2 linked regions of the Schizosaccharomyces pombe genome follow. The gene in region 1 interacts genetically with each later gene. Each region holds a gene or a part of one and is shown in the gene's direction. Other genes may lie near its edges.

What was found. A genetic interaction does not mean that the proteins touch.
Region 2: mutations in bdc1 (region 1) and sum2 together harm fitness more than expected from each alone (negative genetic interaction), as found in Schizosaccharomyces pombe (2 studies listed by BioGRID).

Annotation. Positions count from the first base shown.
Region 1 is NC_003423.3:2,421,854-2,429,500, reverse strand, and holds bdc1 (bromodomain-containing protein 1), read left to right. Parts: upstream 1-3,976; 5' UTR 3,977-4,027; coding exon 4,028-4,927; 3' UTR 4,928-5,086; downstream 5,087-7,647. Other genes in the region: rkr1 (ubiquitin-protein ligase E3), read right to left, coding at 1-2,716, 2,906-2,934; cysteine desulfurase Nfs1, read right to left, coding at 5,236-6,741; BAR adaptor protein Hob1, read left to right, coding at 7,243-7,647.
Region 2 is NC_003423.3:265,419-269,908, forward strand, and holds sum2 (translation initiation inhibitor), read left to right. Parts: upstream 1-2,037; 5' UTR 2,038-2,071; coding exon 2,072-2,124; exon of another isoform or gene 2,125-2,162; coding exon 2,163-2,221; exon of another isoform or gene 2,222-2,259; coding exon 2,260-2,441; exon of another isoform or gene 2,442-2,549; coding exon 2,550-3,536; 3' UTR 3,537-3,990; downstream 3,991-4,490. Other genes in the region: trm6 (translation initiation factor eIF-3 gamma subunit Gcd10), read left to right, coding at 1-50, 187-1,480; SPOM_SPBC800.14C (uncharacterized protein), read right to left, coding at 4,289-4,490. UniProt on the Schizosaccharomyces pombe protein: Required for G2/M phase checkpoint control.

The DNA of each region.
Region 1 (7,647 bases):
GCCATTTTGTAAATAAATTCGTATTAACAAATAAGCAAACGTAAGGTTAAATAAAGCATCACCGTCGCATCCGGTAGTTTCAACATAATATAAAGTGTATAAGGAGGCATGGAATATATGCACAAATTGAGTACCTACGTCTGTCATATCAACATTTATGGGCTCTGAGGCAACTAAATCTAGAAATCCGAGAATAAAATCTTGGTCAATGAACAACTTGTTAGAGAAAAAAGGAATGCAAGAGGATATTTTTGCATCCCAAAAAGAGGCAGGAAACGTAAAGAAGTTTGAAGGGAGTTTTCCAAACGAATTGAAAACAAGAACACACTTATCAGCAGCTAACTTTTCATTTATAGAACCATTCAAAACCTTATTCAATGACCATTCCTGCACTTCTGAACATAGTTTAAGAGAAAAACCGGAATCTTCTAATGCTTTCTCTTTCAATAGGGAGAAGATACTTTCAAAATGAGCTGCAACATGGCCATCATCTTCTGGTTTACTGAAAAGGATCACAGGAAGCAAAGAATACAAGGATTTATTTTCATCAAATATTGTTGGAAGATGAGCTTTCAGAGAATGCAATGATGCGCACAAAATAATCAAATGATTATCAACCCAATCATTCGTAAGAAAATACTCCAAGGTCGTAAACAAAATATTTTTAATCGTTTCTTCTGGAACAAGGATTTCCTTAGACCCAATGCACGCTCTTATCATATCCCAATCGTTTCCTGGGTTTTGCATAATAGCAAATACTGCTGTATCATAGTATTCTACTAATGTTTTTACCAAGGAAATTTTCCCCCTTAGTTTTCCATCAGCAAACAAAGAGGGAAGACTATTTAAAACCCTAATATTTTCCAGTTCATCAAAGGACACTGTGAATTGATTAGCAACATTTTCCCAAGGCTCAGAGAGATCCGCGTAATCTTTAAGAAGTAAAAGAATATCACGAAGCAAAGTAAAGGCTGGAGATTGAGGCCCAAGCTTTAAAATCGAAGAAGGCAAATCATTCACCAAATATTTTTGAAAAAGTTCCTTAACGGGTTTAATCAATGTAGTATCACTGAATATGTGACAAACAGTTATTAACTGGGATGCCGATAAACATGCAATACGTTCATTTTTGTGGGTAGACAATTTCATTAAAAATGACAAACAAGGTCCCAGAATCGACATGACTTCATTTCCAGTTTGAAAATTTCTATTTTTAAGATATAAAACTGTTTGAACGGTTAAGCTTAAGTTACGTGATAAAGAATCAAATGGGATAGTTTCAATGTCCATAGATTCATCATTAAAGAAACCAAATAACACTTCGTTCCAGAGCGAGGCGAAATCTGAATTTTTATCGAATACACTTTGCAAGCAATGATCGAAATCAGACGTTGAACAGCGTAGAACAAATTCACCTTTAAAATACCTGGTAAATATAGTCCTTAAACGGTCACGGACATGATCCTTAATTTGAGGATCGGAAGAATCGGTATAAACAAATGACAAGAAATTGAGTAAACAGTCATAAACTTCAGTAGATAGGAAACGTTGTTCTTGATTTGCAGTTTCTAAGAATGCATCACACAATTCGTCTACACTTTCAATGGAAGGAACGAGCTGCATAGCGCCTATACTTTTAAACAAATTCAGCAAGGATGTGTAAAACCCAGAATTAGGAAGGCTGATTCGCTTGGTGATCAAATTTGAGAACAACTTTGAAAGAGGACGTTTTGAATCATTTGCAAATTGGTGAACCTCGTTGGGGAAATTAGAAATCATGTTACTAAGAAGCCTAAGCATAGGGACGCAGGTCAAACTAGTTAGTCGTGAAATCATTCGTGAAACACGTTTAAAATATTTCTCTTTATATTGGGTAACAAAAGGTTTATCATACTTCAAGATAATGAGCAATAAATCGCTCAGGCTCACTGTGACACCATCCTGAGGTGAGGAAACCAAAGACCAAAATTCGTCAGACTTGAAAAGTGTAGACAAGTTCTCGTAAAGAGATGACTTAAAGGTTTGCTTATCTATCTTCTTATCTGTCTCTAGATTTTCTAAATCGGCAGTCTGTTTGAAAAGAAAAGAAAGGGTCAGAAGACAGCTAGATTTAACTCTGGTAACTTTCGATTCAGCTTCTTCATTTGAAAAAAAACGCAAATCCGTTAACGATTCTTTGTCTTCATGTAAAAAAACATCAGTGACTATAGGTGCGATAGTAGATCCAAACTTCAGCCAAACATGGGGCCACTTTTCTTCGGAGAGTAAATTTTTAAAAGAGTCTTTTGCTGATACAGAGACTGCACGATCTGAATCAAAAAAACCCATAACCCAAGGTGTGATATAGAATTTGAGCCATGGTGCAAGTTTTTTTTGAAGCGCAGAAGATAGAACAGACATGAAGACAAAGATTTTTAACCGCACATGTCGTTCCACTTCTATAGATAGTCGAGGAAATAAAACTGCCAAAGCATTTAGAAACTGTTCATTGTCAAACTGTGATGGGTCATTCCACTGAATTAAATCTTGTAAAGCTCGACATTTCGTTACGATGTCACGCTTTTGCAAATTCTTCACAATAACAATCATTTCTGCGTCTAAACCAGACAAGTCTGGAGGCTCATATATCGTACTAAAATTTGAGCTGGACTCATCCAACGCAATTTGCAAGGATGAAAACGATCCTGACATCGATTGCATCCCGGGATTTTTACGGCTATAAAGAGATTAGCATTTCGGCACATACATAAAGAAAAAAGAATCGTTGTATTTTTAAACAAACTTCCCCAAAATATGGAAAAGTATGGATTTGTAATAACATAGGTGTTCTGCATATATCCAATGAGAAAGACCCTATTTTGTGTGCAAACCCATTTTGTTACCATCTTCTCACATCTTTACTTACCCGTATAAATCCGTAGATTTTTTTTTCATCTTTTTTTTTAGTTTACAATGCAATGGAATGCAGCGGATCAATTTGGCACAAAGAATGAAAAATTACAAAGGAAATCAGATATCAGTCTGTCCGACGTTATCATAGGTTATTGATAACGTTGTTTTAAGCAATTCATTGTGGTATGCAATGCTTTATAAACTGATACTTTAAAGCTTAACTATTTGTGATGACGGAAAAGGAATTAAGTAGCTTGCTAAACTGTATATCATGTCAGCAATACTACACTACGCTATGATACACTACGTTGCGTATCACTATATGTCACATGTTCTAATTATATATCGTACCATGTATGATACGATATGGAGATTGATCTTAATGATAATCTATTAAGATCAATATTATCTGAATACTATAAATAGAGCTACTGCTGAACCTCGTTCCTCAGTTCAGTTATGAGCTATATTAGTGATAGGTAACATTATAACCCAGTTAATACAATACCTATACTCAGTTGCTACTTATACAACCTGTGTATTGTAATATAATAGATCACAAGGAAAACTCACCGCAGTTCTACGTATCCTTAAATCAGATACCAAACTGCGTAGCTTACATATCAGATTCTTTAATTGCAATCGCAAAACTTATTTAAAGTAACTTATCAAACGGTGTCATCTACAAAATACCTTATCTAATTTAAGGATGCAGTAAAAATACGATGATTTTTATTGCGATCTGTTCAATATTGCGTTAGTTACAGAAAACGTTGGAAACTTGGTTAGTATGATGTGACTATCCAGCAAAATTTAAAGATTTTACGCAAAAGGTTTATAGAACATAATTCACTGGTATCATAGGAATCAATTACAATTTGACAAACTGCAATTCTATAGAAGTCTTCAAACTAAGACATTGAATTATTAAGATATGCAACATGTGTAAGGTTGGCAACTAACGTAAATTATTTAGCATTGTTGCGTTAATGAAGTTTTACAGCAATCTCTAACGAGAATTTAGGTTTTACGCGCACGCCGTATGAAGGAGGTAGTACACTACGAAAAGAAGGACTCCCTTTCTACCGTGTCTTGTCTTGTAAAATTAGTGGAGATGATGCAAGTATAGTGCATAATGAATATTGCTCAAGAGGTTGCTGTTTTACAATATCTTGATATTCAGCAAGAAAATCCTAATGCTCCCAACGAAGAACTCTTCAATCGAACGGCAGAAAGCAGCCTGCTTTTAGAGCCAATTGAACAAGATCAATTAAAGGATCTGGTCGAGGAATGGATGCATGATAGCAATAAATCTGATTCAAAGCTTCTCTCCAACCAAGTTTCTCAAAACGATAATGATGCTCGAAAAAATCTACGAAAAAGGCTGCGGAACGATGTCCTAAAGGATTTGGCTGAAGAGATACAGGGATGTGAAAAAAAACTGGAAAGCTTATATGAAGAGGTTGCAAAGGCAAAGGCAAAAGCTGTGGAGGATCAACTCGCACTTGAAGAAGCTGACAAGGAAGCAAAAAAAGCGAAAACTGAAGCTCCTGTAGAGGCTGCTAATAAATCTCTTCGTTCTAGAAAGAAAACACCAGAGATTGCAGCTCCTGCAAATATCGAACCCGAAGTTGCACCCACAACTAAGACTCCAAAAAAGCGCGCTGCCCTGTCTAATGAAGAAAAGCAGTCTTTGAAAAAGTTCCAAAGTGCAATGCTTCCTATGCTCGACAATATTTCTAATCACAGGTTTGGAGCACCTTTTAGTCATCCTGTAAATCGTAAAGAGGCACCAGATTACGATTCTTTAGTTTATAAACCTCAAGACTTACGAACATTGAAGAATATGATCAAAGAGGGTAACATCACGGAAGTGGATGAATTGTATCGAGAAGTTCTTCGAATCTTTGCTAATTGTAAAATGTACAATGGCAGCGATCCAGCCAACGCCATGTCCATATGGGGAGATGAATGTTTTCGCTACACAGAAGAGCTTTTCGATATTTATCGTCAGGCAAGTACCCGTTCTCAATGAGTGTTTTACATTTTAATTATATTCCTTAACATTTTTTGTTTATGCTTTGGATTCATATCATTTTTTGGCTATAATTTTGACGACTTGGGGGTACATATTTTTTAAATGGTACTATATTTTATTTTTATCAAATTTATGTTTTTTTTTATATCATAACCGTGTATTTATTTCGTATAGATTCAAATCAAGTATGAGATAATTTACAATTTAGTTTTTTGTAACTATATAACAGCTGGTAAAAAGTTTCAACTTCCATACGTTCATATAAAAAAAAAATAAAATCTTCAATAGGTAAAATTAAGCGTTCTTCAATGTTGACTCCATTCTATAGTACTAAGATCGACACCCTCCTGAACCAAATCCCATAACGGGCTCATATTCCTTAAGAAAGAAACTTGTCTACTCACATTTTCAATAGCATAATCAATTTCGGCTTCAGTTGTAAATCGGCCAATACCAAAACGAATAGAACTGTGAGCATTTTCATCACTCTGACCAATTGCACGCAAAACGTAAGACGGTTCTAGAGATGCGGATGTGCAGGCAGAACCAGAAGACAGCGCGATATTTTTCAAACCCATAAGCAACGATTCCCCTTCTACATAATTGAAAGAAATGTTGACACAACCTGGATATCTAGATTTAGGGTCGCCATTCAAAGATGTATATGGGATTGCAAGAAGGCCATCTATTAATCTTTGGGATAGTTTGGAAATATGTGCATAATCATACTTCATTTCTTCTTTGCATATACGGGCCGCAGTACCAAATCCCACTACTTGAGATGGAGCAAGAGTACCACTTCGTAAACCTCGTTCCTGACCTCCACCACTAATAAGCGGCTCTAAACGTACACGAGGACGTCTTCTAACATAAGCGGCTCCAATTCCTTTAGGGCCGTAAATTTTGTGAGCAGAAATAGACATTAAATCAATGTTCATTCGATTGACGTCAATGTCAATTTTTCCATATCCTTGAGCAGCATCTGAGTGAAAGAAAACCTTCTTCTGTCGACAAATTTTGCCAATCTCTTCTAGTGGTTGACAAACACCAATTTCATTATTGACGGCCATTACACTTACACAAACAGTATCAGGACGTATGGCGTCACGTAATTCATCCAAATTAATAAGGCCATTAGTTTGAACAGGTAGAAAAGTAACTTCAAACCCTTCTTCTTGGAGAGCACGTAAGGAATCCAAAACGCATTTGTGCTCAGTTTGAACGGAAACAAGATGCTTTTTCCTACTTTTGTAAAATCGGGCAACACCTTTCAAAATAGCATTATTTGATTCAGTTGCGCCAGATGTAAAAATAATTTCTCTTGGATCAGCATTGATTACAGATGCTATCTCTTGGCGTGCATTTTCAACAGCTTTTTCTGCTTCCCAGCCATAGGCGTGTGTTCGACTATGTGGGTTTCCATAAATTCCAGTGAAGAAGGGAAGCATACTATCTAGTACACGATAGTCGAGAGGAGAGGTAGCTTGAAAATCCATATATATAGGATGCAATCCCGTAACCGTACTAGCAGCGGTTTGTGCTTGATCCAAAGTTACTGTTTTCAAAGAATTTTCCGGTATGGGCTCTTGAACCGCCGTCATGTTTCCTAGCCCGTACATTTGTTCACGAGGTTTATTGCTCATTGAAGGTTTGTCCATACGACTGGAAGTCATAAACGACCTACCGTAAACTCCAAGACTCTGTCTAACATTATTAATATCCTGACTCTCTCGCTTGACAAAAAATAAAGCACTTCGTAGTTCAAGAAGGCATCTTGCTCTAGAAAGCATCAAACTTCCCATTTTGGACATGGTTGTTTCCAAAATAGAGGAAATTTTGCTAATTCTTTATTTATTTCCTAAACAACAAGAAACAAGTCCTTTTTAAAATAATTTGGCAGTTGCTAAGTTCAAATTTTGCGATCTGACTAATAAAAATTTTGGTTGGCGGCGTATCTGAAACCAACCAAAACTAAGCTTCGACCCAATACATGTAGAGCTGCGCAATTATCAGTATGTTATCATTGCATCGTAAACGACGGAGACACTGTTCAATCGAATAAAAACTGTAATAAAGAGCATAGAGACGAGCAAATTAAAATCAAATGTTTGCCTTATATTTACTATGTTTTCACCTCATCTAGATAAAAATAAAAATAAAAATAACGAGACGTTGCGTAGTATACTGTATTTGCGATTCGGCACAATTACAGGAAACGATCAGCATTGCTGCGAAGTATGCTACGTGAATACGGAGAAGGATGGTTAAGGGAATTTGAAAGGGTCAGACATACCAACTACCAGAATTACTTGATGAGCTGGAAAGGGTTTACAAAGGCACTTGCGCGTACGCCGCAGACTCTACGCAGCAAGTTTAATGTTGGAGAGATTACCAAAGATCCTATTTATGAGGATGCTGGAAGACGGTTTAAGTCTTTAGAAACGGAAGCGAAAAAGCTGGCTGAAGACGCCAAAAAGTATACTGATGCTATTAATGGGTTATTGAATCATCAAATTGGATTTGCCGATGCTTGTATTGAAATTTACAAGCCTATTAGTGGGCGTGCTTCGGATCCTGAATCGTATGAGCAAGAAGGCAATGCGGAAGGTATTGAGGCTGCCGAGGCTTACAAGGAAATTGTATACGATCTCCAAAAGAATTTGGCTTCTGAAATGGATGTTATCAACACTCGCATTGTCAATCCAACTGGTGAACTG
Region 2 (4,490 bases), 2.2 Mb from region 1:
ATCAAGCTTCCTTCAGACAATGTTCGTTTTGTAACATTGAAACCAAACAAGTAAGTATGAGGATCTTAATTTACAATTTAAAGTACATTTTCAATGATAGCAATTGAAATTGTTTTTTGCATAAGGAGATAGAGGTGATCTAGTTTATCTCGTTCATATTGATCTTACTGACTTTATATTAAATAGTACAATTCACCTCGGAAAATTTGGTTCATTTCTCGCTGATGATTTGTTTGGAAAGCATTTTGACGAAACTTTTGAAATTTATCAACCCAAAAAAATTCGAGTTTTAAAAACAAGGGAGGTACAGTATATCGAGGAAGAAAAGAAAACGAATCAAGAACTTAATGATTGTCGAGGCAATCAGCTTATGACTCAAGAGGAGATTGATGAACTGCGCGCAAACATTAAAGCTGGTGGACTTCGTGCTGAAGAGGCCATCAAACAGTTGACTAATAGTAGTAAAACTTTTGAGCAAAAAACTTTATTTGCTCAGGAGAAATATGTTACGAGAAAAGGGGAAAAGTATCTTCAACGCTTTCAGGTTTTACGACCTTGTGTTGAAGTTGTGGCTAATTACATGATTGAACATGATCCGTATAAGATACTTGATCTTACTGCCGAGTGTATAAGCTTGATGCTTACTCTTGGAAATGTTAAACCTGGGGGTAGATATTTGGTAGTTGATGAGACTGGATGCATGTTCCTTGGTTCTCTTATTGACCGTGTTGCTGGTGATTGCAAAATAACCCTGGTCCATCCAAATGAGCAACCTAATAGCTCTTGTTTAGAGTATTGGGGGCAAGACTTTAAAGAGGATAGTTTGGTTCAAAAAGGGATTTTGAAAACTTTGAATTGGTATCAAGTTACGAATCCAACCGAGACTTTAAGTGAGTATTCGGTTGAAGATATTCCTGAATCAGAGTTGAATGAGATGAAACTTCGCCACCGTAAGCGCTATGAAACGAAGAAAGCTACATTTAACCGTTTGAAGAATACTATTGATGATTTTGAAAGTGGTAACTATGATGCTCTCTTTATACTATCTATTCACACCCCAATGTCTGTTCTTCAACATCTTCTTCCAAAGCTCGGTATATCACGTCCTTTCATGGTATACTCAACATATCAGCAAGTCTTAGTCGAGACGTATCATCAATTATCTAAATGGGATAACTTATTTGTAGAAAAGACAGCTCAAAGTACTGAAAATGACGAAAAGGTTGATCAAGGAGACGTTGCTATTGATACACAGAAAGAGAAAGTCATCATGCTGGATATTCATGAGATTCGTACACGACCTTACCAAGTCTTGCCAGAAAGGACTCATCCATTCATGACTGTTAGGGGTGATATGGGTTTCGTTTTATCTGGGATCAAGGTGTTAACTTCTGACAGCAATCTAGCTGCCGGAAGGTTTCCAAAACGTAAGGGCCAGAAAGAAACTTCTTCTGTCAAAAAAGCAAAATTGGAAAATTAGATATGAAATATTACTTTTGGAATATTTTTTTCAAGGCTACTCTATTAGATCAACAAGGGGAGTTACAATTTTGGACATAAACTCAGTTACGTTGAATTGGGAAAAGGTTTTTGTTATATTAAAAAGTTTTTTGTTTCATTCTTTAACTTAAAATTTTCATACGTATCAGAAAATGAATATGTTAGTTGGATAATGTAATTGACGGTGCGGTTTCAGGTTAACTCAATTTTGAAGAGCGTTAAAGTACAGTGTCTTTTGCTTGGCATTTTCATTCTTTTTAAAAATAGATTACTTGTAATAAGTATAAAATTAGTTACAATTTGACTGCTGCACATATACGTATTTAAGTAAAATAAGTAGTACATGGTCAGAGCAGCTGTGGATAGCCTTTTTGATCTTAAGCATGTTAATTTTAAATAAATATAAAAACTGATGAAAAAACAGCTTATAAATGACAATGTCGCATTTTGGTCTTATTTACTCGGTATAATGAACCCCATACTAGCGCTATCGCCAAGTTCGTTAATTTCGAAAGGACACCTAACCACGCTCCTTTCACCACTAAGCTTTACTTCGTCGAGTTTATAACCAATGACTGAATTTATTGGTTCTCGTATTAGTCTAATTAGCAAATCTGACATTCGGTACGTGAGAGCATTATCTTTCCTTTACTAATATTTAGTTATGTGGGCATTTTGCAGGACATCAATTCCCAGGACTCAACACTGGCTTTGAAGCATGGTAGGTTGAGTACCCAGCATTGATTACTAACAGTTTAGTCCGTTGGTGTGGTACTGAAGGAAGAAAACAAGATCCCTCTCAAGAAATCCCCCCATCAGATAATGTATTTGATTACATTGTTTTTCGTGGAAGCGATGTTAAAGATTTACGGATTGAGGAACCTGCTACTACTCCTTCTGCTCCCCCGGTTCAACCTCCTAATGATCCTGCAATTATTGGGGTATGTTACGTCTAAAGAGTGGTGGAGATTCTCATTAGTATATCTAGTATTAATTATCTTTGGCACTCTTTATATATCTGACAAGATCATGATTTTAACTATAATTAGTCTAATAGCGGGCAGTATAATTGGAACCAAGCGCAGACTGCCCAACCTCCTCAGCCTGTTCAACCTAACCCTTATGGAGCTCCATACCAACAGGCTCCTCCAGCAGGTGCACCTTACTATATGTACCCGAATGCTCCCGCTCAATTTGTACCTCCTGGAGGTTTGCCTTTGGGTACTCCCTTAGACGCATCCACACCTGCGGTCCCGTATTATGGGGCACCTGATCAACAGCAAATGGGTCAACGTCCTGAGTTTGCTCAAAATGTTTCTCAAGGGTTTGCCGGTCAGGCCCCGTACAACGTACGTCCTGGATACGGAATGCCTTCAAACCAGAAGCCTCCCAACTTTGCTCCGGGCATGCCTGCTCCTGGTCCTACCGCGGTATCTGCATCTCCGTCTCTTCAATCCATGCCGCCCACGAATGGAGTGATACCAGGTGCACAGCCCTCCATTGAAGCATCTATTGAAAAAGAAAGTACTAGTATACGGAATTCCACTGTCACAAATGACCGTGTTGTGAATACTACTGTGGATGTCTCTCAATCCCAAACCGTTGAAACATCTGGACCTTCTAAAGAAGTTCCTACAACTCAACCTGATGCTAGTGCTGCAAAGCCTCGTACCGAATTTGACTTTCAAACTGCAAATCAAAAGTTTCAATCGATGAAAGATGATTTGTTAAAAGGAAAAAATGATGAAGAAGCCGAAGAATTTTACAAGCCTAAGCAATCTTTTTTTGATAATATTAGTTGTGAAAGTAAAGAGAAGGGTATGGAAGCTGCAGATAGAAGAGCTCTACGAGATCGCGAACGTTCTTTGAACATGGAGACATTTGGCGTTGCTGGCTCTGGAAATCGCGGCCGTCGTGGACGTGGTCGTGGACGTGGTGGTAGAGGTCGTGGACGTGGATATGCAAGAAATCAATATAACCAATACAGGAATTCCAATGGCTCTCAACCTAGAGCCCAGCCTGCAAACGACCAATGAACTGCATTTCTTATAATGAGTACAGATGAAGTATCCTCGTTTCTCTAGATTGAGCTTCGTCTTCGTTTCAATCATGATGAACTCAAAATTTATGGACATGTATTTAACGACCCGAAAAAAGGTGTTCTCTTATATAAACCAAAAGGATTAGTCGTTGTTATTTGATATTTAACTTAGGAGTTTTGTTAAGTTCTTGTAGAGTGCTTTAAAAACTATACTTATCTGCTCATGTATTACGCAAGAAGAACAAGCATTGAAACGATATCCTATACCGAGATTTCGTAAAGGTATTACGAATAAATGTTAATGGGTTACATATAATTACCAAAAGGTTGAAGACTTAACCAATCCGCTAATGTTTATTCTTTTATACACCTTGATAGACCCAAAGCATCGCTGGTTGCATGACTGAACATTGAACAACCCGTGTTTTTCAACAGTCGTTTCGTTTTTGAAAAGCGTTTTGTAAAAATTTGATTCAGTCGACTTGTTTGAAGCTGACAAACTATAGAATCCAAACAACAATGTTTGAGCAGTATGAACAATTTATAAGCGAATCGTTTTAAAAATAAAAATGTGCTCTCTTAATTTTAGCATTTTTTAATAGTTTAAATTTCACGAACTTAACTACGTGATATAGTGTTTTAATAATCAGCAGTAGAAAAATTAGAACTTAATATTATTTGATCATCAACGAATATCGGAACGCAAGAGTTAACACGTAAACGATACATTACAATTATGTTTTGTTATCAAAAGTAAATTGATCCAGCGATTGAAGCTAAACCAGAGAAAAACATAAATGCGCTTCGAAATAAGTTTTTAAAACCCCATCTGTGAATTATACTGCGGAAATTTTGAGTAGCCTTTACATCTTTAAGTATTAGATCTGGATTTAACGTTTGTAAAGAGTTAATGTCCTTTTTCATAAACAAAAGCGTGAAAGGAATAATA